Xenopus tropicalis: one gene and its partner. The protein of the gene in region 1 interacts with the protein of each later gene in a biochemical or structural test. Links are inferred from orthologs where the notes say so. Each region holds a gene or a part of one and is shown on either strand. Other genes may lie near its edges. The genes, in order: tom1 and tollip.

What was found.
Region 2: the proteins of tom1 (region 1) and tollip form a complex in vitro, tested with the Homo sapiens proteins (3 studies listed by BioGRID and IntAct, with this or other methods). The link is inferred for Xenopus tropicalis from reciprocal best matches to the Homo sapiens genes TOM1 and TOLLIP.

What each region holds. Positions count from the first base shown.
Region 1 is NC_030680.2:122,025,724-122,041,190, reverse strand, and holds part of tom1 (target of Myb protein 1), read left to right. Parts: intron 1-4,490; coding exon 4,491-4,575; intron 4,576-5,278; coding exon 5,279-5,357; intron 5,358-7,264; coding exon 7,265-7,414; intron 7,415-7,938; coding exon 7,939-8,073; intron 8,074-10,611; coding exon 10,612-10,761; intron 10,762-11,009; coding exon 11,010-11,126; intron 11,127-11,958; coding exon 11,959-12,092; intron 12,093-13,128; coding exon 13,129-13,177; intron 13,178-14,371; coding exon 14,372-14,468; intron 14,469-15,467.
Region 2 is NC_030680.2:21,543,461-21,559,490, reverse strand, and holds the start of tollip (toll-interacting protein), read left to right. Parts: upstream 1-5,239; 5' UTR 5,240-5,320; coding exon 5,321-5,353; intron 5,354-14,460; coding exon 14,461-14,610; intron 14,611-15,064; coding exon 15,065-15,247; intron 15,248-16,030. Other genes in the region: serine/threonine-protein kinase BRSK2, read right to left, coding at 855-948. UniProt on the Homo sapiens protein: Component of the signaling pathway of IL-1 and Toll-like receptors. Inhibits cell activation by microbial products. Recruits IRAK1 to the IL-1 receptor complex. Inhibits IRAK1 phosphorylation and kinase activity.

The DNA of each region.
Region 1 (15,467 bases):
GGGCTTACCAGAAAGTTTAGGGACTCTAACAATTCCTTGAAATAAGCTGCTTATGCCTATAATTGAAGGAGAAGGAAAGTCATTTTGGCATTTTACTTCCAATAGATTAGCCACAATGTGCCACCTAGAATGCTATATTTATTCTGTAGAAAGCTTTACCATACCTGAGTAAACAGCCCTAGAAGCTCCCTCTGTTTGTTTAAGATAGCAGCTGCCATTTAAGCTCGGTCTATGTACTTTCAGTAGCTCAGATCACACATTCTTATGGGGGGGTGATTAACGTTCCTTCTCCTTTAAGGGCAGAGCCACCTGAAACACATCAGACAAGCAGTGGTGCTGTTTGTCCATTCTTTGCCTTTTATTGCATACCAGTAAATAATATTATATTGGATCCTGTCTGCTGCCATTTTGCTTTCATTGAGATAAAAGATGCTAATCTTAGGCTTGCACCCTGAGGAGACCCAACAGTATGTCTAATATTCAAAATAAGCAATGCTTGGTTGAATTGTGGGGAGTCTGCAGCAGCCCTTTGTTTTTCTTTTTTACAATAAGGTCTGATTTTCCTAGACACATCTGTCATTCTGCTGTTCAATCTTTTTGATACCAGCATAATCTTTGGCTTTGCTCTTGCACCTTATCCGAAACCAGTTCCGATGGACGTAATATTCTCCTAAGTGCTTCCTATAGTTTGCGGTTTCAGTTGTTTTGGCTGTTGGTCTGAATGAGCATGACAATAGAAAAGCCAATTGTACAATTGTATTGTATAAGAATGAATATTTGTCAGTGTTTGGACACCTTTACCCTTGTCTACCATAGAAGTATGCAAAGAATTCCAGCTGGCTGCTCACACAATTGTGGGTGTGACTGGCCTTGCACCGAAATAAATAAAGCAGTTGTTCTTTCACATTATTTCATCTACTGTACAGCGCTGCGTACATAAGTAGCGCTTTATAAATGAAGATATACACACATACATGGCTGTTATGACTGCTCACATTTAGGCCTCCGTTTTGTCCCATATGATTATAGAGAAATTGAATACTGTGTGTTATATACAGTGCAGTGACATGCCAAGCTGGGTGCCCTAGGCAACCCGGCTGGCCACCTCACCCCTAGGGTTGTTACCCTACCCAGAAGTGATCGACCATTAAAGATAACTCCAACTGCAAGGCATCTAATAGTCTGAGAAGAACTCAGGGTAACTTAAAAGCAACTGGCGAATATTGATGTTCTTGTGTCCAGCATCAGGAGAACACTGAACAGCAATGGTGTGTATGGCAGGGTAGCAAAAATATTGCTGACCGTGTACAGTTTGCTAATGATCATGTAGACAAACCAAAAGGAACTGGAATAATGTTTTTGGACGGATGAAGCTAAAATAGAGCTTTTTGGCTCAATGAAGTTCATTACATTTGGAGAAACAAAAACATTGCATTCCAGCATAAGAACCTTATCCCATCTGTGAAACATGGTGGTGGGAGTGTTCTGGTTTTGGTCTGTTTTGCTACATGTGGGCCTGGACAGCTTGCCATCTGAACTATACCAGAGAAAGGAAAATGTCAAGACATCTGTCCGTGAACTGAATCTCAAGAGACTGTGGGAGAGAGACTGTGCAGAGAGACAACGATCCTAACCCACATGTTGTTTTACTAAAGAATGGTTGATGAAGAATAAAGTGGATGTGCTGGAATGTCCAAGTCACACATTAATTAGTCCTCATATTAATCCAATTGAAATACTGTGGAAAGACCTAAAGTGAATGGTTCATGTGAGGAAAACCAGCAACATCCAAGAGCTGAAGCTGTTCTGTATGGAGGAATGGGCTAAAGTTCCTTTGAGTCGATGTGCAGGACTGATCAACAGTTACCACAAATGATTAGTTTCAGTTATGATGTTTATTTTTTTCAATAAATACTTGACCAACTATAGCAATTTTTTGTTTAGATTTTTACCATCTACTTTTAGGACTTGTTTGAGAATCAGATGATGTTTTAGGTCACATTCATATAAATATATAGAAAATTTTAAAGGGTTCCCAAACTTACAGCACCACTATATGTATATATGTAATATATATTGTAACAGTGTGTTTAGAAAACACAGCTGTCTTCAGGGTCGGACTGAGGGGTGCAGGGCCCACCAGGGCTCCTGCCCCAGGGGCCCTGCAGGTCACCATGGAATGTAAAAATTCATTGTGAGTCCCAGAGAGGGGACAAATTTTGAATAAGTTTGTTGAAACCGCTGATGAACTGTGTTCCTGTTATCATTATGTTGGGAAGAGTTTGCCCAAATAAACCTGTGTTATTGCCTGAAGAAGTGGTGTCCCTGTCTCCTTGCTCCAGATGCTCTGCTTACCTGCCTACCATAGCTAATTTCCCCCAGAAATTACATGTACAGGCAGACGGCATATCACAATATATATACCGTATATAATATATTTGTGTGTGTGTGTGTGTGAGTGCTGAATCATTTTGTTGACAATTCTATTTCTATGAAGGCACGACAGTCACATGGTACCAGCAAGAATGTTCTCCTTTCAGAACGAGCCATAATCTCTCTTACGTAATGTGTTGCTTTCAGACATTGTAAAATGATTACTAGCAAAACTGAGCACAGAAATACTGTTTGTTTTTTGCATCAGTTTGCCATCTCCTCCTACACACTTACTAAAGTGCATTTAGGATGCATTAGGAGTCTGAAGAAAAAACATGTACATTCTTACTGCATGAATAACAACATAGACATTTGTACATTTCACTTGGCCCAAAAAATGCATTGTTGGAGTAGGATAGGGATACACAAGACTGCATCACTTCAGCAAATATTAGGAACTCATAAAACTAGAATAATTATAAGCCAAATGTATCCCGTAGCAGCCAATCAGCTCTGATCAGTCTCCCTGAATATAATTAATAAGAGCTAAAGGTTTTAGGCTTCTGTTGGTTTCTGCTACGTGGTTAACAGTTTTTCAGTTTTGCTGCTCAACACAACTACTAGTGAATATTTTGGTTGTAGTCCAGTTAGTACTGGAGATATGTTGATTTCTTGGTTTTTACATGGATCGTATGGTTTATATGGTGATATTTTAACACAATAAAGCTGGCCTCACATGAGCAACTTTATCTGGCAACTCCAGACCAGCCAGGAACTTATTTGTCCACACATGGGGCCAAAATGTCTACCTAGCCAATTAACTGGTAGTTTTTAAAAAATACCAATGCATGAGCCATGTAGTCCTTTCCCAACGTTGACAAGGGAGATTTGGGAATGTAAGGCTTTCTGACTTACAGAAGTTTCATTTGAATTCAGTTGCAGGCGACCAGGAGTCCTGGATGCATCTAATTATATAACTTGGATCTGGTCTGAATCAGGGAAAGGAATGTTCTTGGCTGGGTGCTGTGTGTTTTTATATTGTGTATTCACCCTCTGTTCAGTACTGCATTTACGGAAGGGCAGAGAGGGCATTAGCTCTTATATTACAGGAGTAGTAAATATGCAAAGAGAACAACTTATTATTACATTATTTATTAGCTTTGTTGTATTTAAACAACACTACAAATGTATGCATTGCTATATAAATAAAATCCTGGCAAAGTTTAAACACAATGAGGGCCACAGTTGATATAAATGAAACAGTGGCAATCATAAACACAATAAAACGTAATACAGTATAAACACTAAAATGGTTGTAGTTAATGTAAATGAAACAGTCAGAGTAATTACACAAGTGCTAGGATTTTCAGTTCAGTTAGAGTTAAATCGTTACCTCAAAGAGCTTACATTTTATGAGAAAGAGAAGACAAGAAAGGGGAGGGGACAAGTCAGGTGTGCTGTAGCAGAGGGAGACTACTCCTAGAAAATTATTCCTTAAAGAAGAACTAAACCATAAAAATACATATGGCTAAAATGCCATATTTTATATACTGTAGTTACTGCACCAGCCTAAAGTTTCAGCATCTCAATAGCAGCATTGATCCAGGACTTCAAACTTGTCACAGAAGCTCCCTATCTTGAAAAGTGTCAGTGACACTACACATGCTCAATGTGCTCTGGGCAGCGGTTGAGAAGCTAATCTTAGGGGTCGTTGACAAAGGCTATTGTGTTAGCCGAAATGTTTGTGTGCTCCACAATAAAAATCACTTTTGCTGCATTATAAGTCCTGTGAGTGCGGGTTCCTTTACATTGTGGGAACTATCTTTGGACTGAACCCAGGCACTGATATTCCTCTTAAACATCAGTGCCAGCATTTGAACTGTGTTATATATGATATATATTATATATACTGTATATATGAGAACCCTGACAGAAGGAAACTAGCTGGTCACTCCCACCTTGACCTAAGATATCTAAATATGGTGGCTTGTTTATTAAGAGCATGTAAGATAGACAACTAAACCTCACTGAATATATAGCCAAGCCTCTGCTTGTTGCATTTTGTTATTTCACAAAAGTGCCCTTGTTCATCAACACAATTAATTTTTGTCTTTCAGAAAAAGCCACTGATGGATCCCTTCGTTCAGAAGACTGGGGTCTTAACATGGAGGTCTGTGATATTATCAATGAGACAGAAGATGGGTAAGGACCAAGATATGTTGTATGTGAATGTAAAGACTGCAAAGATGCATGTTGTAGCCTTAAAATGAGCACATTTGAGTTTGAGAATATATAGGGATTAATGTACTCGCTATTGTAAAAAATAGGGATATTAGAAGTCACCTCAGAGTACCTGGGTCTTTGACCTTGTATATGGTCATGGAACTCCTTATTTATAAGGGTCACCAGGTCATGTGGATTAGTCAAATGCAATCACCTTGCAATATCTTGTAATGGTACCCTTATTTTATTATGGGGATTGCTATAACATCTCATATAGGATTTTATGTGTGTCCTTCCATGTAGTCATTGCAGTATTCTATAGGAGCTATGGTATAATCCAGTGATCTCCAACCAGTGGCTCTGGAGCAACATGTTGCTCACCAACCCCTTGGATGTTGTTTCCATTGGCCTCAAAGCAGGTGGTTATTTTTGTTTTCCTGGGGGGCAAGTTTGGTTGCATAAAAACCTGGTGTCTTGCCAGTCAGAATCTCCTGTAGGCTGCAAGTCCACTTAGGGCTATAATTGGCACCCCTCAGAAATTTTTGCATGTAAAAAAGGTTTGGGATCCCTGGTGTAATCTATTCCTTCTCTTTTATGGCAAAATGGTTCCTGCGCTGAGCACAAGACAAAACTCCTTGTTTTACTTGGTTTCCTCATTTCCAGTAACACCATGTTTTTATAGGCCAAAAGATGCAATCCGAGCATTAAAGAAGAGGATTGTGGGTAACAAGAACTTTCGGGAGGTGATGCTGGCATTAACGGTGAGATGTAGGCACCAGATTTATTGGGTTTTTTTCAGCTTATTTAAGAGGTTGGTGAAATATTTTCTGAAGACTGAAGTGCTACAGCCTGGAGATGCAATCATGGCGAACTCATCTATAACCATCCCCACAAGTGTTAGGTTATTAGCCAACCATGCCACTTACAGAAATAAGTTCTAGTACGGACTGTAAAAGGGCATATCATTTTCTTCTCTCCATAATGTTCTCAAATCCCTGAGTTTAATTGGAACATGCTCTGTGAATCATTTACTCACTTAGATGAGCCCAAGGGTTGATTTGTTTATTAGTAATCATTAAGAGTGGCCCAGTGTTTTGGTACATTCTACATATTGAAAATTTCCATGTTCTCTCAAAAAATCATTGTAGAGATAGGACACTGAGATTATTATTGTCTCTGGGTAAAAAAATTATACACTTAATGAGAGCAACTGAAAATGTATTTTTGATGCAAAACACCAGTCTGTAGCTAATGGGTTTTTGATGCAGGAGATATTTTACCCAATATTTCTAAAAAAGTTCTACATGGGGTATTTATTTTACTGAATAAAGCATATAAAACTGATTTATGACTGTAAAGTTGCTAAAATCAAGGCAGATTGACATATGGATTAAAGGTACTTGTGGACAAACAGGATCCTTGCATTTTTGAATAGTTGCACAGAGCTCCAGTGTTCCTGCTCAGCCTGCTCTGATAAATGGTATGTACTGACACTGGGGAACACTGGTATTACCACCACCCTGAATATGGCAATCATTTCAGGGTTCCCACAGCAGGTAGTGTCAGTAGACACTGCTGACCTAGCAAATTGGATAAAAATGTTGTTTTATGACACTGTGTTTATTTGTGTGAAAGTGAAACCAACCCCACTCTGAAGATGCCAAATGCAACACGTATACGCAAAGAGCTTGTTTTTTGGTTGTGCTCGAGACAATCTGAAGCTTAGGCAAGGGGAAGAGGCATCTTCATGAGATTTGTTGCAGATCTATTGTGGCCGACAAATCTTCACCTCGTGTAATCTTTGTTTAGTGTGCATCTAAAGCGTGCTGGGGATTACTTTGTGTGTATCAGCAGGGAGATAAAGATAACTCTATGTATAATCGTAGGAAAGTATGTTCCAGAAATAGCAGAGACGTATATCATCAGATGGCAGTGCATATTGTGAGAAAGATATTATTGTTATCTGATAAAATAAAAATGTTCTAAGCTATCTGATTGACTAAACAGCTGATCACCACAGTACGGAAATTGTTGGAACAATTATTAGGAGCCAACACATTGTATGAAACTTTGTTTTATATCGGCGCCTGCATGGCCAGCTTTATTCAGTGTATGTGTATGTGTATGTGAGGCCTACTGCATATGTACGCGCTGTGATTATACTCACTGTGTATCTGTGGTTTCATGGCTATTAGTGTTTATCTGTAACATGGCAAGGATTACTAATGTGTAAGCCTTAAGGGATTTGTTCCCAGAATCCCTTTTGACTATTTGCATACGTATGAGGCGGTCTCCTCAACCCTTTTGACTTGTTCGTGAATCCCATCAGAAAACCCTGCACTGCACTGATGAGCCCCAAGAAGGGCGAAACTGGTCTGTAGTTGGGAATCTGATCAGCTATTATCCTGGCTTCTGCTTTAAAAACCCAGTGGGTGAGCTGTAGCCTATAGGATAAACCCATGTAAATGGGATTTTTCTAAGAGCCTTAAGGAATTTGTTCTCAGAATCCCTTTTGACTAATGTGTGTACCAATATTGTGCTGAAGAATACATCTGTGTGTACTTGCAATGTGCTGAGGATTACTGCATGTATGTTGCTGTCTCAATAGATAAAATGTAAAATGTTTCTTTGACTCTTACTCACTACTACTTTTTTAATAATTTTCCAGCTCTTGGAGACTTGCGTGAAAAACTGCGGTCATCGATTCCACGTTCTAGTAGGTAGCCAAGAGTTTGTGGAGGGAGTTCTGGTGAAGACAATTTTACCCAAAAACAACCCTCCAGCCATCGTCCATGATAAAGTTCTAATTCTAATACAGGTAAAGGTGATTATAGGGAGCATTCTCAACACTGTGTTGGGTTAGAACAAGAGGTTTTTATGTAGTCTGTGATCTTCTTTGTGTATTAAAATAAAAGTAATATACTGGGCCTCACTTGCTAAAAAATGGCAATTTGCAATGTTATTAAAGTACCCATATCTTAGCCAGATTTATTAAGTAGTGCTTTAGGACATTTGGTTTCCTCACTGGGCTTCCTGAACTCTATAGTGCCAGAGGTAATCCCTTATACTATGACATTTTTAGAGGTGTAGAGAGGCCTTTTAAAGGGAAATTGTTGCTTTAATTGTTCTGTACTGTGACTCAGAAGAATGAAAGAAGATTGCAAACCTTAATTTCTAGTAATGCTGACACCTCTTTTTATTTATAAAAAAGTTCCTATGAATTATATGAATGTGTCAGATCTCCTTTGGGATCATTTGTAATCCAATCTACCTTTTTTAGGTTTTTTTTTTTTTTAATAAACTTGAATGATGATCTTAACCTTCTAAACCTCTCTTTTGTAGGCCTGGGCAGATGCCTTCCGTAGCTCTCCAGACCTGACTGGGGTGGTCAGTGTATATGAAGATTTGAGGAGGAAAGGCCTGGAATTTCCAATGACTGATTTGGACACTCTGTCTCCTATACACACACCGCAACCAGTAAGGAACTTGTGTGAATAAGTGGGATGGGGGAATTTTAAGTAGTTCCCAAAGCTAGAGAAGTCATAGGACAGTACTAAATGAGAGCCTTCTTAATGGAGGCCATACACGTTACAGTTATGACCTTTCCTGCAACCACTGGTTGTAGGAAAGATTATTTATACACTCCACTAACATTCAGAGCTGAATTGTCAGATATGCAGGTAGAAACAAAAGAATTCTACCCCATCTGATGCAGCACTAAATGTCGGCTTTTGCCGATCTTGGTTGCCTCATCTCTCACTATACATGTATGATAATATCAGTGCGTGTATGGCCACCTTAACACTCTCAAGCTTAAATACTAATAAAAAACAGCATGCAAATTAATTTATCATCATACAACAGATAGGATGAAGTATATAAGTGATTTGTAAGCATTATTCAATAAAACTACTCACCTAATTTTGTTCTATAAAGCTGTGTTTTCTATAATTGTCTGCTATACCATACGCTGAACACTTGTCCTTTTTTGTTATCAACAACAGTCCAGTGTTCAACCTTATTGATCCCCTTGGCAGAAATTATAGTCTGCAGTTTAAGATTTAATGCTTTTTTTAATAGCCACTCTTTATAGCCCCCAGCTAAACAATACTATGGTATCTTGGTCCTAACTAGATATCTCTAGAGTGCTAAAATTGTAATTAGTTAATAAAGTTACCAGGAACGGGATTCTGCCGGAGGGTCAATCATAATGGCTCCTTAATGATGTAAAGCAAAAAAAAATCCTAATTTTAAAACTTTTATTAGGGCTATGTCACGCTCTGCGTTTCTGCGCCTACAGTGATTCAAATGAAAGTTCTGTTCCTCTGATCTAAAGGGGTGGAAAAAGATCCATCCCTATCTGTCTATAATCCCCTCAAATATACTGCACTGCATACTCAGGGTGAGGCAAAATTATGTTTTCAACCCTTGAGTCAATGCCCTTTTTTATACAAGACAGCACTTTATTTGCTTTAGTAGCCACAGAATGACATTGCCTGGAATTTGACTTGTTATCTACAAAAATCCACAGATCCTTCTCAAGTAAGGATACCCCCAAGCCACCATTTTGTGTATAACTTACATTCATATTATGTCTACCAGAGTGCATAACTTTGCACTTATCAACACTGAACCTCATTTTCCAGTTTGCTGCCCAGTTTTCCAATTTTGTCAATTCACTCTGCAAAGTGGCAGCATCCTGCATGGAACTTTTGCACAATTTAGTATCATTAGCTAAAACAGAAACAGTACTTTTAACGTCCACCTCCAGGTCAGTACTAAATTAAAAAGGAAAGGTCTAAGGGACAAGTTTGGGTAGAGGTAATGTCATGTTGGCTTTGTGGGAAAGTATATGGGGGAGTAAAACGAATCATGGGTAATTTAAAAATACACTTGGCTGATAAAAGTAAGTGAAATCGCTTGGATTTTCAGGAAACATCATATGTACCTTAGCCCCTAAGGGTAAAGACACACAGAGCTACTAGTAGCAGCTACTTGTCATGGCTACAGAAAAAGACAATGCTGATTATTTACTGATAAGTGTCTCTATGTATGTTTTAACAGAGTCAATTCACAGTATTGTCTATGGCTGAGTATTTTCTTGCATTCAGTAGCCGTGACAAGTAGCTTCTAAGGGCTCTGGTACACGGGGAGATTAGTCGCCCGCGGCAAAACTCCCTGCTCGCGGGCGACTAATCTCCCCGAGTTGCCTACCCCTGCCATCCCACCGGCGAACATGTAAGTCGCCGGCGGGATGGCAGACGCGGCGGGGTGATTTCGAGAAATCGCAGAAAAAGCCTCGCGAGTCTTTTTCGGCGATTTGCGCGAAATCGCGCCGCCGCGTCTGCCATCCCGCCGGCGACTTACATGTTCGCCGGTGGGATGGCAGGGGGAAGGCAACTCGGGGAGATTAGTCGCCCACGAGCAGGGAGTTTTGCCGCGGGCGACTAATCTCCCCGTGTACCAGAGCCCTAATAAGTAGCTCTCTGTGTCTTCACCCTAAAAGTTGTATCTGTTCAGCCAGCACATACAAATAAACTATTTCTTTGCCATAAATGTCGCATTTTATGTGAAAAGATTTTTATTCTGTAGTTCTGTAGGGAGACATGAATGACATTTAAGTCCTGTTTATTATCCAAAACCATTGTATTTTACAGAGTTTAACTGTTCTCTATGTAATCATTTTATCTATTGCCTTATTTCAACTTGAAGGCTAATGTTACATGGGGCTGATCTTGGCCTGTGTACTGGCACAGGTAGGAAATCCTTGGGCATCCTCTCAGTTGTGTGTCTGCACCTGGAGCCACTGCATTGGCCTGGGTGCAAATTTTTAAAAGATAGAGGCTACTTTGTAGAAGGTGTAATTGAATTGTTTTATATTAGTTCACATTAGATGAAGTGAAGTAATGGTAAATGTAATAGAACCATATTTTGGTGCAAAGAGATGGAAGGGAAAGATCTTTTTGGTGTTCCCAGTGGTTCTTTATTTTCTAATTTTGTCATATTTCCCCTCAGAGCTTCTCTGCACCAGAATCCCCTTCTCAACAGGACTGTCCTTCCTCAGAGTTTCCTCAGAGGGGAGGGTCAGTACATTCTGAGCCTCCCCCATACAATGTTCCAGCTACAGCCTCTGGCGACACTGCAGTTACCCCCACACCTGATCAGGTAAACAAATATTTTGTCTTTCTTTCCAAAAGGAAAGCCTAATTATTACCTGGCACACAGTTCTCATTAGTTCTTATTAGTATACCAAAAAAAAATTGTAAAGAGTAAAGCTTGAGAACTGTTTTAAAAATATCAGTTACTAAGAATATACATTGAAAGCACATCTCTATTTGACCTTCATTACCTAAATATGTCAGACAACAGACTTTATGAAATTGGTCCCTAAATGGCATTTCTGTTTGCAATAGTTGGCAAAGCTTCACAGCGAGCTGGAAATTGTGAATGGTAACGCAAAGGTGATGTCGGAGATGTTGACAGAGCTGGTCCCTCAGACAGCCAAGCAGTCTGACGTGGAGCTGTTACAGGTGGGGCAGTAAATCTTTCCTATCGGAATCAATAAAAATGTTGTTATTGTTTAGTTTCTGACTGAGATTTATCAGCTAGTGTTGGACTTGTGGTCTCTTTACATACCATACCACAGGGGTCAGGAACCTTTTTGGCTGAGAGAGCCATAAACACCACATATTTTAAAATGTAATTCCAGGAGAGCCGTACAATATGTTTGGCCGCGGATGCTGCAGGGCAAGGTCGGGTGGGTCCCAAGGATGCCAGATGCGATGCAGAGGAGGCGTGGCCTGCACTTGGCGGATAGAAGACATGTTCTATGGCTTAGAACATGTCTTCTATCCGCCGAGCGCAGGGGCAAGGTAGGGTGGGTCCCAAGGATGCCGGATGTGGATGTGATGCGGAGGAGGGCGTGGCCTGCGCTCGGCGGATAGAAGACGTGTTCTAAGGCTTAGAACACGTCTTCTATCCACCGAGCACAGGCAACGCCCCCGTTATTTTTTTTTTTATTAAAGATTTTGGCAGTTCCTCCAGTGTCTGGAATGGTAATTACCTGGACCTCATGGTGCACTTGTGGGTCAGGCAATTATTGTTTAGAATTGCTTATTGCAGTGTTTTCAAGTTTACTGTGTGGGTCCAGGCAGTTACCATTCAAGTGAATGGGGGGGGGGGGGGGGGGCACAATTCAGCTGGAAATCACATGGCAAATGGTGGTTTGAAATGTACACTGTAGAGAGGACTTGCAACAACATAATTGAACATGGCAAAATGTGAAATGACATTTAGATTGAAAACATGATAATCCCATGTGTTTCATTAATGAATGTCTACAGTTGCTTTTCTTTTGCACAGGAATTGAATCGGACGTGCCGAGCAATGCAGCAGCGAGTTTTGGAGCTAATCCCCCGTGTAACCCATGAACAGCTGACTGAAGAGCTACTTATTGTGAATGATAACCTCAATAATGTCTTCATTCGCCATGAAAGGTAATAAATCTATAGAGATATAGAGTAAGGGTTCTAATTGAGAATATTATTTTAAAACTGTGCTGAGGTTTGCTAAGATTACCTATTTACATAGTAACATAGTAAGTTGGGTTGAAAAAAGACATACGTCCATTTAAACTGCTGTTACCTGGAAAGTGGCCATTCTGGCACTTTTAGGTGTTTCCTATTAAACATGATCGGCGATGGCAGGGGACTTTGGCTCATTGTATGGTTCAGCTCTCCAAACACCTGAAATCCACCTAAGAGGCCTTAAACCTGGGAATTTAAAGGGATAATGTCATGAATTTTATGGTATACTTTCAGATAACCTATTGTTTCTCCTATTCCCATGTAACTGGAGGAGTCCCAAGCTGGACTTGGATTTCTTACTATTGAGTGCTATTCTGATACCTACTGGGAGCTGCTATCTTGCTGCCTTCCCATTGTTCTGCTGATCGGCTGCTGGGGGGGGGGATAATATCATTTCAACTTGCAGCTCAGCAGTAAAGTGTGACTGAAGTTTATCAGAGCACAGGTCACATGTCTGTGGCACCCTGGGAAATCAGGAATACGGCTAGCCCCATGTGAAATTTCAAAATTAAATATAAAAAAATCAATTTGTGTTTTTGAAAAACGTATTTAAATGCAGGATTCTGCTGGAGAAGCTCTATTAACTGATTTTGAAAAATTATGTTTTCCCATGACAGTATTCCTTTAAACATCACAGCTATGTACAAAGAAAGATATTTATCTTCATTGTTACAGGCCAAGACCAGTATTAACACCAATGCAATTTTCCAGGATTAAGTAATGATTTGATTTGCTTACTAACCCCATTCTGTCTTTTGTTTTTGTTTTTTTTGTAAGTTACCTACTTGTTTTTCTCTTGTTCATTTCAGGATAATCCGATAATTATAGCAAATTCTTTAGATAAGTTTAATAGTTAATGCATTTAAATTGCTATACAGATAATTTATTCTATAAAACAGTACAAGCTTTCCAAATATTGTCTGTCTAATGCAGCTTTTGCTTGCAGGTTTGAGAGGATGCTCGCTGGTCAGCAAGGCCCAGTAGCAGAGGCACAGGTAATTTTAACAAGTTCTAGAAATAGATTTGCTACATGATCTGTACAAGACATAAAGATTTCAAGTGCCAGATAACAGTCACAACCAGCTTGTAACACTTAGACCTACATTCCCATGATTAATAAAAGTAGGATCTAATGATGCTGCATCTGACTGTAGCAGTGTCAATTTTCTGATATTACCTTAAGCTCCCTACTTTTCCAAATATACTTCATCCTTACTTTTCTAAATAGTTATTCCTGCTGTCTCTTCATTTGCTTTAGAATTAAATATGACTCTGGACTATAACCTTTTCAACAAAGCATGTCAAAGGGAGCACCTTTATTTTACACGTCATAAACATACAAATCAGATTTTCAGAATCTGCAACTGGCCATTTCAGTGTCAGCTGCACAGACTGTACTGCAGAGATAAAGTATGTAGCCAGCAATCTTCCCCACATTATAAAATACTACAGAAATCTTTTCATTCCCAAATAGACATTTGTAACAAAATATGTTCTTTTACCTCACTTGCTGATCATCCTGCACACTGAGCTGCAGTGTCCTTGTCTCTTTGTTTTAATAATCACTCTCACTTTATATTCTGTAAGATGCAGATGGTGATTTGAATTCTACCATCAATGAAAAGAGTGATAGTTTTGAAATAAAAGATTAAAACATTACACAGTAATTTTCAGTGCCATTCAGAACAACCAAGGCTTTAAAAATGAAATAATAATCACTATATATGCACAGACTATTATATAGATAATGACTGTTGTAAAAAAGTAGTTTTATACCTGGATATTAGTTAGTTCATCGTAATGGCACACAAATAGGGTATTTGAAAACCTGTTGCAGTTAAGAAGTTATTTTCTGCCAGCAGCTTCTACCCATTCTGGAACATACTTCCCTCTGGCACATAATTATCAAGCAAGCATCTTTTCGGAAAATGGAAGTCGCCCATTTCGAACTTAATGACCATGCACTGTGCTGTAGGGCAGCGCATTTTTGCATTCAACCATAGTTGTTGTGGATGAGTATTTGGATGACTGTAGTTCTCCCTAAGTCCATCATTGTGATCAGAACACCCCATGTACTCATGTTTTGCTCCCTATGTTTTCATTATATTCTGTTTTTTCTTCTCACCATAATTTTAGTCCTTGAACCCAGTGGACATGTTGCTCTTACTTCTATCTATCCTTCTTGATAGGTTGCAAGAGACAGGGTTCTTCCCCCATCTCTTATTGACCTCGAGGAAACGCCCTCTAATTCAGCTCCGACTCTTTCTACGCAGTTAGCAGGAATCAGTAAGTCTTCTTTTATTTTTGTATTTTGCCTTTCATCTGCTTATATATCATCTGCTGGTATATTATAGTGTTGGGAAATCTTAGTGTTGTCAGCTGGCAGCCCATTGTGATTGCATGAGGATGAGATGGGAGCAGAGTGGCAAGGACTGGAGGTTGAATCAAGAGAGAAGGATGTGTATAAGGGGTCAAGGCAGAATGAGAGGAGCAGGGGAAAAATGTACATAGGAACAGAAAAAGAAAAGAGAAGGGGATAATTGAATGTGCAGAGAAATTAAAAGTATGTGGCAAATTAATAAGAAGTCTAAGGGGAGAGCAAAGTGCAGAATAGAAGGGTTGGGGCACAATATACAAAACAATACATACACGGGGCACGTAATACATACAGAAATTAAATAGCCTTTTAACTTAAAGTGATACTAACACTAAAAATCTGCTCTTTAAAATAAAAATGTACATAAAAGTTACCTATAGGTCATTTTGATCATCCCTTCCCAACCTTTCATGCAAAGACAATGTTATGACAGATGTAAAAAAAGGTGTCAGTATGGTGTCAGTATCTCTTTAAGGTTAATTGATTCTGAAAATGAAAGGGGCATTAAAATATAGTGCTTTATGCTGTATCCTTTATTTAGCACAAACCAGAAATGCATTTGTTTACCATACGCGTCTGTGGAAAGTAGTTTCTTACTAGGTGATTAGTATATGGCTATGGGCATTTTGACTACCACTTTTTTCCCACAACAGTTGTCAAAATGACCCCTGTGCCATATGGCTTGCGCATTTTGCTCAAGGATACAAGAAAACTCTAACTATGTTTGAACCCCCAGGTATCAAGCATGGGTAATAACTCTCATGTCTGTACTAAGCAAGATTTACTAACATCTGACACTAGGTGGCAAAAGACATTAAAAAGATGAAGCTAACTGCAGAACTCTGATACTTTAGTTTCATATGAACCTGCTGCTTGTGGCAACTTGCGTGAAATGTGTGTAGTCTTTT
Region 2 (16,030 bases), about 100 Mb from region 1:
TATAAATCCAGCATTGCACAGTATATCTAATTATACAGGTACAACATAATCAAAGTGATTGAATTTGTTTATAGTTTTATATTGTTACTGGGTCGTGTTCTGGTACTGGAATGCGTCACGTGAAATCTCAGAACTAAATTTTGCAGTATTGCTCTGGCAATGTTTGTACTGGCACATAAACTTGAGTTAAAGGCGATTGCTTTGTGGCAGTAAGGGAGCCAGCGCATAACACAATAACTGTAGCTCATTTGGCTCGGCGTGCACAATGACAAGGCATTCCTATGGGCAATATTTAATATTTAGCGCTAAAGTGAAGTCACTGGGCCAGTCCCGAGCAACACTGGTATTTCCTGTTAAGCTTTGGTTTCAGAGCAAGACTGCACAGCACCAGTGCTGGTCCAAACATTGGCTCAAGGCCTGCACTACACACCCTTGCGCTGATACCACTGCTTAGTGCAATAATCTTACACTGTGTAATTTCATACTTGGTCCAATTTCAAACATTCCACTGCTTAAGGTCATTCTTTTGTATGGCTCCAGGATCTAACTACTGGTCTAAGCTGTTCATCTTTTTTTGACATCTTGTGTTATGACCTCTATTAAGTTGCTTTTTTAGATTTTGTACGCTGCCAAAATATTGACTGTCTCCACCCCGTTACTGACCGGGTAAAGAAAGGCCTAGGCACCTCAAGCAAGCAGCTTTGTGAGCCCATCCCGCAGATACTATGATTGATATATGTACAGAAGCATCCTTCACTTAATACCATTGCCAAACACAGGTCCTCCCACAGAATCGTGGACCCCCCCACCCGCATCCTCCCTCCTACATCCTTATTGTTTCCGGCTGTACCCACCTGTCTGCCCTTTCCCCAGCGTCTTCTCCAGCCGATATGGCCCCACATATTGCATGTGTGGTATTCCACTACCATCTTTCACCACTGTGGTCATCTTGTCTTCTGTCTTTCCACGGGGATCCAGATGCAAGGAAAATCCTCAAGAGGAAAGGGGGGAGGAGGACTGGGATGGAGAGGGAGGGGGGGGATGGCTGTGTTCGCTTCTTCTCCCCCCCTCTCTCGGTGAATAAACCTGTCCGTTCTTGAGACGCCCAACTGAGAACCTTTTGGAGCTCACCATCAATAGGAACCTGCTTGTATCTCGGGCTTCTGTACCTTGTCGTTCCTCCTGTCACGAAGCAGAGCACTGAAGACTCAATGTGATGAATGAAACAAAAAATAAATAAATAAATAAAAAATTAAAACCACCTCACTACGACTGCACCTCCCTCTCTTTCTTTTTAGTTTTTTTTGCAAAAAAAAAAAAGAAACTAAATATTGCAAAATTTGTAAAGTAAGATGATAAGAGGGAAGCTGGGGCTACGGTGCAGGGAGCATGGTGTAGATGCTGCCGCCTTACATACAAGCAGCTCAGCAGGGACCTGCTGATCAATCCTCACGCTCGCTGCTAGAAGGGGGAGTGCAGGGGGGGTTGCAGCCTACTAAAGCTGAGATGTTAGGTTGGCTGTGATTGGTGTACGCTAAACTCTATTCCGGTTGGAGACTCAGGGATGCATTTTAATTGAACTAGGGGGGTTACCTTGTGCGTAGGGATGTGTGACTGTCTTTTATTTTATCATTGTGCTCAGCTGTGCAGTACAGTAATAATACACATCTGTAACAATGCAGGATGCAATCTGTGGGAGTGTGAATATGCACTGATAACAGTGCATATTATCATTCCCACAGATAGCATACTGCAAAGGTATGTATTATGGGGTTACCGGTGCCTTCTCTTCTATGTTCAAAGTCCAGTACTTTCCATTATTAGAAGCAAAATATACATTACAGCACACACCTACTTCTCTTTCTGTAAACAACTGCTTTTACCAATACACTTTTAACCACATACTGATCCCCAAATAGTGGCTCGTCATTAACATGTTGCTCACCAACCCCATGGATGTTGCTCCCAGTGGCCTCGAAGCAGGTGCTTATTTTTGAATTCCTGGCTTGGAGGCAAGGGGTACTGACAAACAGAACCTCCTGTAGGCTGCCAGGCCACATAGGGGCACCCCAACTCGTTTTACATTTGAATGTGGCTCACAGATAAAAAAAGGTTGGGGACTTCTAGCCTAGAACATCCAAGGGGAAAAACAGAAACTGAAAGCGCATATTCTACTGTCTAACATTTGAAAGGTGTTCCTGCAGCTCTCAAGTAGTTGCAAATCCCACTGGTAGTCATAGTGCAACAGCTGGGGGGCTGCAGATTTATGTAATCCAAACCATATGAGGGTGCCAGCCTTTCTGCATTGCCAATGCCAGCCTTTAGCCCTGAAATTTAAAGTAGATACATTATGCCCTGCTATTGTACTACACTTTAATGCACAGTAAGAATATGTAAGCTGTGCACAGAACTATTGCTCCTAGAGAAGGTGACACCATGCCTAAAGAAGGTGACTGGTTTCTCTCAGGGATGTTTAGTGTAAGGGTACAGCACAGCATACCAGTATGTTTCACTAAAGGGGAAGTTTATTCACCTATACATATATCACTTGGCATCATTCTGCTCCATATATACCTGCATTCCTAAAGGGGTAACACCCCCAAATGAACACTAAATAAAACAGTTCAATGTACTGTCTCTGTCTGCTCTGCTTGTCCGGAGTCTTAAAACAAGGTAGCAGAAGCCACCTCTCCTCCAACCAAGATTCCTGTTCCCATAAAGCCTAGCATGTTCTATAACTAAAAGACCCCTGAGAGAGAGCTGACTTTTGCTACATTTTTTTTTTTGCAACAGCTAGAACAAACTGTGCAGACAATAACAATGGCCATGGAGATACTGAGTTTAATATCAATAACATTTACAAATAACTTAAATCATTTATATTTATTATTTAATGGGTTTGGGAAAGTTGCATAGAACTAGACCTTCTTTCTTCTCCAACATTTATTTTTCATTATATGGGTGGTTTTCCACTCCTCCTACTCCTATCATAAATTCGTAGGCATGCAGTAAATGCTCAGACTGTCTGTCGGACAATATGGGAGCTTTCTCTCTCTAGAGGGAATGTTTCCTGGGCACAGTATAATGGGTGAGCTTGGGAGTTGGAGCACTGGTCAAGTTCTGTGTGCACACTCCCCCTAGTGGTATAGTATGAAACAGGCAGGAGTTTGTCCTCTGGGCTTTCCCTACTCTTCAAGGGGTACAGTTTTAATGATGCACAAACTAGGGGGGCATCCAAGGGGGCACCCATGTGCCTTCCGCCTTGACTACAGCACCACTAAACTATGTGCAGGTCTTTACAATGCCAAAAATGGTGACGACAACATCACTGCAAAGCTTTGCATTTCCAGCTGAGGGATTGGGGTGCGGTGCCAGCAAAGGCTGTTTCTCAGAGAGGAGGTATGGGGGAGTGGTGCCAGCTTCAAGAGTCAGGTGAAGCGGCTGAGAAGGGTTTTCCCAAGATGTAAATGTGTACCCATTTAATTCAGTGTTGAAAAGTGTCAAATTTGGCGTGCTGTAATCGGGGATGCTAGAAATCTCTACAAACAATCATGCTGACATTTAAATATGTCAATAAAACAAGACAGGAGGACATTCTAACTTGTATGTATTACTAACTTTTTTTTCTTATATGAAAATAACAACAGTTTCACAAAAAAAGAAAACAGTCACTAAAAAGACTACAGAACATTTCAATTTTACTTCATCAAACTTACCTGTGGCGATGATTTTCGCCGGTAGTTATGGATTGCAACATAGTGTGCCCGGATAGTGGGGCCCAGGTCATGAGAAATCACAGGGTCCCTCACAACAAAATTTTCTTGGCATCCTCCTGCTTCCTCCGGCTCCGCCCCCCCTCACGTCCTCCTGCTTTCTCTGGCTCCCCCCCCAGCATCCCCTTGCCTCTTCCAGCTCCCCCCTCAGCATCCTCCTGCTATCCCCCAGCATCCTTCTGCTTCCTCCGGCTCCCCCCCCCCCCAGTGTTCTCCTGCTACCTCCAGCTGACTGTCTCTCTCCTCCGGCTCCCCGCAGCGTCCTCACTCTTATGACGTTACATGTACACACGGGGCGCGACCAATCGGATTACTCGTTGACCACCAATGACAGGGCCTGTACTTGGGGGGCCCCAGCTAAAAAAAACTGTATCAAGGCTGGGCCCCCCTTAAAAGTGAGAATCGTCCGGGCCCTGGATGACTGTCCCCCCTGATGGCAGCCCTGTGGGGCCCAACAGGACTAGAGCCTACCGGGTTTTCTCCTGGTGTCCCAGCAGGCCAGTCCAATGCCGCGCTGTTTCATGCATCTACACATTATTTTCTGCACCTACATATACTAAAGGGCAGATTTATTAACATTCTGATTTTCATGGTTTTACAGTATTTTGAAACTCATGTCTAAACTCGTTTTCACAAAAGTCACAATAAAAAGGCTTTAATAAAAGATCCAAATTGAAAAAGCACAAACAAATAAAAAAGACACGGGAAAATGCAAAAAACGGCAGCTTTTTCATAAGTGAGGAAATACCTTCCAGTTGTAAAAAGGGACACCTGCCATTGACTTCTGCTCTCAGCAGCTTTTAGATGGCGCATTTTTTCTTTCGGATTTCCTGCGGTTCTGTAAATCAACTTTCCTGTAAATAAATCGTATTTTGGCACATATGTTCCAACTGTGAAAAAATAAATCGAACGTTAGCAAATGCCCCCTTTATACGCCCTTACACACCCTTTGACACACCCACACAATACAAATATTTACACACCCATTTACACACTTACACATTCTTACTCTGTTTTACACACAATTGTACAGAATTGTACTCATTCACACAAAGATAGCAAGGCTGGTATTTTTTCCTCACAGTTTTGCATTTAGTAGAGAGCAACTGTATGACATGAATAACATATAAAATAAAAATGTATTTGAAAAAGTTATTTAATTTCCCACTTAAAAGTTGGATTTATGGCCTGTGACAGAATTAACCAATACTGATATAAAATCACACACGACACCCATAGGGAACAGTTTCCTGACATATATGTACTTAATAATTTTTCTATCATTTCAGTTTCTATATTTTATCCTCAAAAACAAGAGCCAACCTGTGTCCTGAGGCACTTTAGGCATTCTGCGCATGCGTGCGTCCGGCAGGTCAGGTGACCGAGTTGCTAGCGGAGCCGCCGCTAAAACCGCAAGCGTCTGATGCCTTACTGCGCATGCGTGTGCGCTGCAAGTCAGGTGACAGATTTGTTAGAGGGTGTAGCAGCTAAAACAGGAAGTGTCTTGGAGAAGACGAGACCGGAGAGATAAGAGCTGTTCAGAAGCCATGGCAACGAGTATCAGCACCCAGAGAGGCCAGGTGAGATAGAGTGGAGAGAGGTTTTGGGGTGAAACGGGGTGTTTAGGTGGTAGGTTCAATACATGAGGGGTGATAAAAATGTCGGGGTATGGAGGTGAGACCCAGCCCCAACATAAGGAATGCGCTGCATTCCTGGCTAGTTTGTAAATAAGGTGACATTGAGATCTTTGATATTTGGAATGTATTACCTCGTTGACGGCATGTTTTCCTTTTAAACGCCACAGAAAACCCCTACATGCTGTGTAGCCAATCAGCTATTAAACTGCGTTCTGCGTGGCTGTACATAAATCAGTGCAGCCTGCAGCAGCTCATTTTTCACCTAGTTATGTAGGATATGAAATTAAAGAAGCACTATCCGTCTTACTCAACAACAAAGGGTTACTAATAAATTGGCTTGAGCTCAACTAGTTTTTTGTTTTTTTTTGCCTATTTGAATCGCGACAGATCTATGGGTTTTGTTAATTTTTTTTGAGCTGGAACAGGGGCAAGCTGAGAAACTGAGGCTACCCCATGTCTTGCAAGGTGAGTAATTAGATTGCAGCCTGACAGATATTCCCATTCATAATGGGCTTCTGCTTTTTTTCTAATTCAAAACAGTAACAATAAAGGGTGGAGCTTGTTTGTACAGAGGGCATTATCTCTTGTTAAGGTGGCCATACATGGGCCAACCAGTATTTGACCCACAAGCCTAGAGACTTAAAGGGCAGGTTTGGTATGAAGGGCCCTAAGTTTTGTGGTTGCTGAAGTCTTTAGCAGTCCTATGGCTTTACATTCTAGGTCTCCTTGTACGTGCCCTAAATTGCTTGGGCAATATGGACATATTTAGCCAAACTCTCGGCCGCCTATCCCTATCCCTTAAAGCGGCTAGAGTTGTTCGAGTGTTAAAGCCCTGATGCACTGATGTCTCCCGTTGGAATGTGGCTAGGTCATGTGCTTCAGCCGCCTAAGCATTCCACTCCCAGCGACCAAGATAGGATATGGGCCGTAAACATCTTAGTTTGTTCCTCACATGTACAATATGTATTTATCTGTTTTTACATCAATTCTTTAGCTTCAAAGCATCTGTGATGCTTTGATGTCCTCTCTTTACTTTTGTCCTGTAAAGACAGCTTTGCAATATATATTATAGGTATGGGACCTGTTATCCAGAATGCTCGGGACATGGGGTTTTCCAGATAAGGGGTCTTTCTGTAATTTTAGATCTACTCACCTTAAGTCTACTAAAAATCATATAAATGTTAAATAAACCCAATAGGATTGTTTTGTCTTTAATAAGCATTAATTATATCTTTGTTGGAATTAAGTACAAGTTACTGTTTAATTACTATAGAGAAAAAGGAAATAATTTTTAAAAATTAGAATTATTTCTTTTAAATGGAGTCTATGGAATTTTTAATGGAGCCTTTACGTAATTTGGAACTTTCTGAATAATGGGTTTCCGGATAAGGGGTCCTATACCTGTACTTTAAATGGTTTTCAGTGGTTTTCGAAGTTATATGTAAATGTAATTGCTAGTGAAGGCAGTAAATGCCTGGCTGTTTATAGTCTCAGCACTACTGTTTCGGAATCCTGAAACAATGTTGCAATAGCTAGCCTCAAAACAGCTATGGGTTTTGTGTCATGTGAGTGTTGTAATGATGCTTTCTGTTCCATCCTTTGAATGGAAATTCTACTGAAAATATTATACCCTTTCATACTAATAACAAATATTATCTACTATTTTAACCCGAGTCAGGGTAACCCAAATGTTTTTCTTCCTTCTCACAAATATCACCTTTTACTTGTTGGTAAGACTCTTTTTTTTTTTTGGCAGGACTTTTTTGGTGGGTTTTTGTATGTGAGCCTGTACCAACGGGCTAAGTCCTTTTGCACGAGTTTGCAGCAGTGCCACTTTTCTTTGGTGAATATATATAGATATGTCTATAGGACCCATTATCCAGAATGCTTGGGACAAAGGGTATTCCGGATAAGGGGTCTTTCCTTAATTTGGATCTATATACCTTAAGTCTACTAAAAAATAATAAACCATTAATTAAACCCAATAGGATTGTTTTGCCCCCAATAAGGGGTAATTATATCTTAGTTGGGATCAAGTACAGGTACTGTTTTATTATTACAGAGAAAAGGGAATAATTTGACCATTAAATAAACCTAATAGGGCTGTTCTGCCCACAATAAGGGGTAATTATATCTTAGCTGGGATCAAGTACAGGTACTGTTTTATTATTATAGAGAAAAGGGAATAATTTAACCATTAAATAAACCCAATAGGGCTGTTCTGCCCACAATAAGGGGTAATTATATCTTAGTTGTGATCAAGTACAGGTACTGTTTTATTATTACAGAGAAAAGGGAATCATTTAACCATTAAATAAACCCAACAGGACTGTTCTGCCCCAATAAGGGGTAATTATATCTTAGTTGGGATCAAGTACTGGTACTGTTTAATTATTACAGAGAAAAGGGAATCATTTAACCATTAAATAAACCCAATAGGGGTAATTATATCTTAGTTCGGATCAAGTACAGGTACTGTTTTATTATTACAGAGAAAAGGGAATCATTTAACCATTAAATAAACCCAATAGGGCTGTTCTGCCCCCAATAAGGATTATTTATATCTAAGTTGGGATCAGTTACATGATACTATTTTATTACTACAGAGAAAAAGGAAATCAGTTTAAAAATTCTGAATTATTTTATTAAAATGGAGTCTATAGGAGACAGGCTTTCCATAATTCGGAGCTTTCTGGATAATGGGTTTCCAGATAAGGGATCCCATATCTGTATATAAGTGGGAGTGTGAGTGAATACCCTAGGATTTTTTCAGCATAATCTTCCTGCTATGTTCCTACCCTTTGCACCGTTTTTGTAGAAAGGGAAGGAATATATAATATAATTTGTACATATTAAGTTGGAACTATGGCTTATAACAGTAATGGTGTCCATAAACTATTTATGAGCTAAGGGGGGCCCTCAACAATGGTTCAACCTTCAAGGTGGGCCTTGAATTGTATCTTTTAATGTTTGACTGTTGGACATGCTGACCAAACTTGCAGCATTAAATGGAAAAGTTGCGCTTACCACTAAACAATTTAAACCATTTGGCAGGGGTACAGTGAGGTTGTGGCCATAAAATTCATACCAACAAAGACCAGAGGTCCTCTCCACGACATTAAAGGGGAAGTCCGGCTTCCAAACCAAAATTTGTTAGAGAGCCCCACACAACACAGAAACCCCTAATATACCTATCACTGTATCTATTCCTTCAAAAAGTATGAATAAATACCATTTTTATATGCTGAAATCCAACTGCAAAACAGTTCTTCTCTTTCGGGATCATTTAAAATCAGGCAGGGGCAAAAAGATTGATGTTACAATTTGGAATTTTCCTGCAAAATATTTGCCTTTTTTTGGTCGTAACTGGGATCACCTGACTACAGCTGGGAATGTTGGGGGTTGCAGCATGGAGCTGGCCTCTGCTGTAGTATAAACTGTAGCAAAAAAGGGAAAATTGTGCTCGCCACTAAACAATTTAAACCAATAAGCAAGGGTGCAATGAGCTTGTGACCACAACATTCACATTTATCATTATAATGATTGAGCAGAGTCTGACTGCATTACAATGGATCCAGGGGTAAGGTGATCTAAGGTACTCCAACACCAGACCCCAACCAGGGGTTGCATGTTTTTAACATGACCATTACCATGAGAAGCAGAAAGGAAGGAAAAGAGAGGACGACACTGCAAAAGAAAAACAAAATCTTGATGGAAAAAGCATGGCTTAAAGTAGATACCACATTCATGAATTCCAGACACCTTGAAGCTGAACTCTTTTGCATATGTTATAAGTGAACCCTGTCAGTGTTATGTAAGATTTATAAAATGTCCCTTCTGTGGGGAAGGTTATAATAAGATATTGTGCCCAATGTACAGTAAGGAAAAGGTCCAGCTTGTGTTTGCTATGACTGTCCTGCCCTGTGACTGGCTTATGACATGGGTGCAGCTCAGTGTTATAAAATGTACATCATCCGTGGTATATGTTACAACAGTAACTCCTATTATTTGTTAATGAGCTCTGTATAAACAGGCCCCTTGCTTTACCCTTTATTGTGACTGTTTTGAGAAAAGCGGAAGTCCATTATGTGTGGATATATCTGTGCAGTGGTAATCTGATTGTCCACCTTGCAAGAACCAAAAGGTTGGGGTAGCCCTTATGTGTTAAATATTTACTGGTGCTATATAAATACATTATAATGATGGTAGCCAGTTGCTCTCTTTCTCTTATCATTAGTAATGGCGTGCCTAATGGGTCAAGCACATTTAAGACAACAAATTACTGGTGGGTTGCAGCCCTCACTAGTAGTAATGTCAACCATGTCTGCAATTCACTTGGGTTTAGTGGGTTAAAAGATGCCAGCCTGGCATCAGAATTGCATCGTATTTCTGCACTGCCCTTTAATATAGCAGTATATATATTGGGTCTGATTCAATTCACCTAAAGTGTATTGAGAAATCTGAAATTTATTTATTTTTTTTCTATAGAGCTCAATTTGACCCAATAAATTTTTCATGAATGTGTTTTCGGATGTACCATCCTTCATTTTTAGTATCTCCACAAGATACTGTTGTACCCAAATACTAAAGTGAATTGAACGGTCATTTCAAAATGTAGTCAGTACTGATCAGCACTGCAGATTTTTTTCCCCTGTCTATCCCCAAAATAGTTACAGGGGCATAGCATTAAGTAGTATTCCATAAATATATGTGCATGTTTGTATATATTTATATAATATACAGGTCCTTCTCAAGAAATTAGCATATTGTGATAAAGTTCATTATTTTCTGTAATGTACTGATAAACATTAGACTTTCATATATTTTAGATTTATTACACACAACTGAAGTAGTTCAAGCCTTTTATTGTTTTAATATTGATGATTGTGGCATACAGCTCATGAAAACCCAAAATTCCTATCTCAAAAAATTAGCATATCATGAGGTTCTCTAAACGAGCTATTAACCTAATCATCTGAATCAACTAATTAACTCTAAACCCCTGCAAAAGATTCCTGAGGCTTTTAAAAACTCCCAGCCTGGTTCATTACTCAAAACCGCAATCATGGGTAAGACTGCCGACCTGACTGCTGTCCAGAAGGCCATCATTGACACCCTCAAGCAAGAGGGTAAGACACAGAAAGAAATTTCTGAACGAATAGGCTGTTCCCAGAGTGCTGTATCAAGGCACCTCAGTGGGAAGTCTGTGGGAAGGAAAAAGTGTGGCAGAAAAGGCTGCGCAACGAGAAGAGGTGACCGGGCCCTGAGGAAGATTGGGGAGAAGGACCGATTTCAGACCTTGGGGGACCTGCGGAAGCAGTGGACTGAAATGGTGTGTGCAGGAAATGGGCTACAGGTGCCGCATTCCCCAGGTCAAGCCACTTTTGAACCAGAAACAGTGGCAGAAGCGCCTGACCTGGGCTACAGAGAAGCAGCACTGGACTGTTGCTCAGTGGTCCAAAGTACTTTTTTCGGATGAAAGCAAATTTTGCATGTCATTCGGAAATCAAGGTGCCAGAGTCTGGAGGAAAGACTGGGGAGAGGGAAATGCCAAAATGCCTGCAGTCCAGTGTCAAGTACCCACAGACAGTGATGGTCTGGGGTGCCATGTCAGCTGCTGGTGTTGGTCCACTGTGTTTTATCAAGGGCAGGGTCAATGCAGCTAGCTATCAGGAGATTTTGGAGCACTTCATACTTCCATCTGCTTCCATCTGATTTCATTTTTCAGCATGACCTGGCACCTGCTCACAGTGCCAAAACCACTGGTAAATGGTTTACTGCCCATGGTATTACTGTGCTCAATTGGCCTGCCAACTCTCCTTACCTGAACCCCATAGAGAATCTGTGGGATATTGTGAAGAGAAAGTTGAGAGACACAAGACCCAACACTCCGGATGAGCTTAAGGCCGCTATTGAAGCATCCTGGGCCTCCATAACACCTGAGCAGTGCCACAGGCTGATTGCCTCCATGCCACGCCGCATTGAAGCAGTCATTTCTGCAAAAGGATTCCCGACCAAGTATTGAGTGCATAACTGAACATAATTATTTGAAGGTTGATTTTTTTGTATTAAAAACACTTTTCTTTTATTGGTCGGATGAAATATGCTAATTTTTTGAGATAGGAATTTTGGGTTTTCATGAGCTGTATGCCACAATCATCAATATTAAAACAATAAAAGGCTTGAACTACTTCAGTTGTGTGTAATGAATCTAAAATATATGAAAGTCTAATGTTTATCAGTACATTACAGAAAATAATGAACTTTATCACAATATGCTAATTTTTTGAGAAGGACCTGTATAATATACTTGTTCTTATTCCTCTTGCTGATATCTCCCACTAACCCCCAAGGCTAATCCAGGGCAGCTGTTGCAGCCGCACCTTTAGTGATTCAGACTGGAACAATTCAATCGTTGAGACCAGTTCACCTTTGATTTTAGTGCCTGGTACAAGTAAGGAGCTTCTCCTACCAGCTGGAGGATAGCACTTGTTTTGTTATAAAAACACTTTACAGTTGAGGATTACCGCATATATTTTAGCTTGGGAGCAGGGTTTCTATATAGTAAAATGATATTGGTGCTTGGCAGTGCCCTTGTTGGTTGGGTATGGTTAGAGAACATGACCAAATGGTGGGGTTGTAGAGGCGCTGGGTAGGAGGGTAGCTGCCCCATTTCTCCAGACCCTTGCAAATCATGTGAAAATGCCTTCTTATGTAAAGTGTTTTACACATGGCAAATATTAATGAATCCGGATGGTAAGGTATTTTCTGGCAATTTCTCTTTTGCAGGACTGGCTATTTCCCACAGGTTCCAAATCGCTTCTTTTGCCATTGTACTTAGGCACAACAGGAAATGATTACAGTCAATAGGCTGGCCATATCTATACCTATAAAATATTTGTATGCTTTTTGGTATGTGTATGTTGGATGGACTATCACAACTTAAATCCAAGGTACAAAGATAATGGTCGGAAACAGACAGGTTTGAAAATTTAATCTGCCGATGTACAGTGTTGGCCGATGTATGGTGCTGTTCAGCTGAGCGGCTGATAGGTCGGAGAGTGTTTTGCTGCTTTTCCATCAAGGCTAAAACTGCAAATTGAGTCACTACTGGGTAGAAAGACACCTTTATATTAACTTTAAATTATGTTAAAGATGGAACTGTTTCAAGCTATTTTTTCACTTGGCCTTCACTTGCTTATCTTTCTTTTAAGATATTTTCCTACTGATCTTCCATTCTAACTTTTAAACTGCTGCCTGATTGCTATGGTAATCAAGCCCTAGCAACCATGTAGAAAATTTCAATTGTGGAGCAATTTTGGGGGTTTTGTGTTCATTGTTATATGACAAGGCACTCGCTCCTTATTTATTTGAATGGTATTTGCTTGGAAATGCAGCACTGCCCTAAATGCTTATGTGTTAATTAATGGGCTCAAGATAGAATCTGTGACCCCTTGGACTCGATAAGCTGTCATAAATATGACTGATCTCTCAGCCATAAAGCTAAACCCTCCCCTATTTAATCATTAAACCTTTTCCATCATTCATTTCAATACCTTCCCCACTGCTGAAAGTTCCTGGTTCTTTCCAAGCACAGATACAATTATTAGATTGCAGTCTTGACCATTTAGTGTATATTGTAGAAGAGGCAATGCAAGTGAGTAGTAGAGGAAGGGCAGAATGAAGTAGAACAGCTGGACCAGCCCCATTCAGCCCCATTCATCCTTCTGTGAGTATATTGCATTACACTGATCCAAGGGCAGGCATATGCTACGGCACACTTATTATGTGTATGATACATTGAGCATATAGGCTCTTTAGCATAAACAAACGTTTATTACTATTCTCCTCTTTCAGGGCCGCACCCGTAGGTGTTTTAGCTGTCACCCATGCCATGTTGCAACAGCTCAATCATGAGCTCCCAGAGTTTAAAGGGACACATATAATAGTTTAAAAACATCGTCCACAGTGCCCCAATTTCCTGGGGATGACACTGGGACAGCCATTCGATAATCCCTGTTTTGACTCACTAACTCTGTGGAATGTCTACTCTGGGTTTCTGATTATTTTACTATTTTTTGGCAGTGATGGTGGACTTGAGGCACAGACGGCTGGCTGTATGATCTTTCACAGCTACAGGCAACACACAGACTGCCTGACCTTAATGTGCGCTTTATGGTCCCTAAGTGTGCTCTAGGCAAAAGGTCTAGATTGGGGTTTAAACTATGCCCTGGCAAGCACACAGAGGCCTAAAAGGCCCTCGGCCTGCCCAATAAATAGTGACTGTCTGTGGCAGGGGTCCCCAACCTTTTTTACCCATGGAAGGTCACACTGAAATGTAAAAAGAGTTGGAAAGCAACACAAGCATGAAAAATGTACCCTGGGGTACCCAATAAGGGTTGTGATTGGTTGTTTGGTAGCCCCTATGTTGACTAGCAGCATACTTCTGTTTGTCAGTACACATGGTCTTTATGCAACCAAAACTTGCCTCTAAGCCAGAAATGCAAAATTAAGCAGCTGCTTTGAGGCCACTGGGAGCAACATCCAAGGGGTTGGTGAGCAACATGTTGCTCGCGAGCCACTGGTTGGGGATCACTGGCCTATGGCATCTTAAAGCATCCCCTCTGGCATTTGCCAGAACCCACAGATTGCAAGTCTGGGTCTGGTAGAAAGAGTAAAGGGGTTCAGCAGCAAGCAGTGATAATAGGAGCAAAGTGTTGTCCTTTCACCTGTGTAAATTAAGCCTATTTGTGAACATATATGTATCGGCCCAATCATTTGGCAGAAACATCATCCCATGTATATCTGTCTTTAGCTATGAAAGACTGTCGTTGGGCCCAGGTTCTTTGTAGTAGAACTGGGTGTGTGAAATTGATGCTTTTGTGAATAGTCATTTCCAGGCCTTTGCAATCAATGTCTCTAGTGATCAGTTACTGGAGATGGTGGTTGGATGCTTTCAGTGTCCTTTCCTGTTAGAAGTAATACATAATATGTTAAAAATGCATCATGCCATTTATGGCTCACTATTATCCTTTCTCTTTGGGTTTTAGGTGTTTATTGGGGAACTGCCCCAAGATTTCCTGCGCATTACCCCTACCCAGCAGCAGCAGCAGATACAGTTGGATGCCCAGGCAGCACAGCAGCTACAGTATTCTGGAGTTATGGGGACCATGGGCCGACTCAGCATTACTGTGGTGCAGGTAAGCAATACCTGGGACCCCAGGGTGATACACATGCCTCATATCAGCCACTACAGCATACATGTGCCAAGCCTCTCTTTTGTTTTTATATCAGTCACAATAGGCTTCTGTCATTTCTGAAGCACTATTATATACCGCAGAGATGTTCAAGTGGGAAATTAAAGTGAATCTCAAGCACTAGTGGAATATTTTCTGTATACCCACAGAAAGCTCAGTAAGAGGTCAGAGGATCCAGAGAGAGAGATTGTACTCGCTCCAGCGAAGACATTAGCTCCAGACCTCAAATGCTTGTTTATAATTGTATTCTGATGCCAGCATATTGTCATTTCTTCTCCTGAGGGTTCATGTTTAGGGAAAAAACAGGAGTCTTCCCTCTCCCCATATCAGTGGATGCCCTTTGTATTATTCTAGAAAAGGTTCCGACTCACTGACTTGCCTTTACTTTTGCTCCCAGGCTAAGCTTGCTAAGAATTATGGAATGACCCGGATGGACCCATACTGCCGGATACGTTTGGGATATGCAGTGTATGAGACGCCTACTGCTCATAATGGGGCTAAGAACCCACGGTGGAACAAAGTGATTCAGTGCACAATTCCTCCTGGAGTTGATTCCTTCTACCTAGAAATATTTGATGAGGTTAGCAGTAGTGAATTTATTTTCCCTTTCCCATATTGCTGCTGTCTTCTCATCCTAAAGAAATCTCTGTCTCATGTCTTTCCAACGGGGGCATTGCAGAAGAAGCCCTTTAATTTGTATGAGATTGGGCAACTTGTTGAACTAAACCCTGAAAATATGGCTAGAAATGCCAAATTTTACAACCAAACTTTGAACCATCCTAAAAATCATCATGTTTATAGTAGTACTGATCCAGCTGTCACAGGAGCTCCGTATCTTGGATTTTGTTAGACATGTCAGGCAGAATATGAATTCTAATAGGGAATAATTATTTTGAGATAATGTTATGGTGTCTCTCTCCCTACAGGCTGTGAGAAACCATGGGGGTCTTGGTACAAATGAGTTCCATTATGGGGCTCCATTTGGCTTGTTAGTCCCCCAATAACCAGACAATATTTCTTAGACTTCTAAGCCACACCATCTGTGGCTTCTTTTAAAGGGATTATAAGACAGTTGGAGGGCTAAGGCTGGTATTATGTTCAATATACATAAATATATGGACACAAAGGAGTGAGGCTTACAGGAATTGATTTTAAGGATGGGTGAGGTGTGGGGGTAACGGGGCATGGCGATTAGGGGTGTGAACATGCATGCTTTATTATTATTATTATTTTTTCAAATCCGGCTACATTCAGCTTGGTAGTTCTCAAAGCCCAGGTGGTCAGTGGGCTATTAACACTGGGTGGTTGGGAGGGCCCTACTAACTAAGAAGTTTGATTTCTGATGGCACCTCTGTCAGTGACC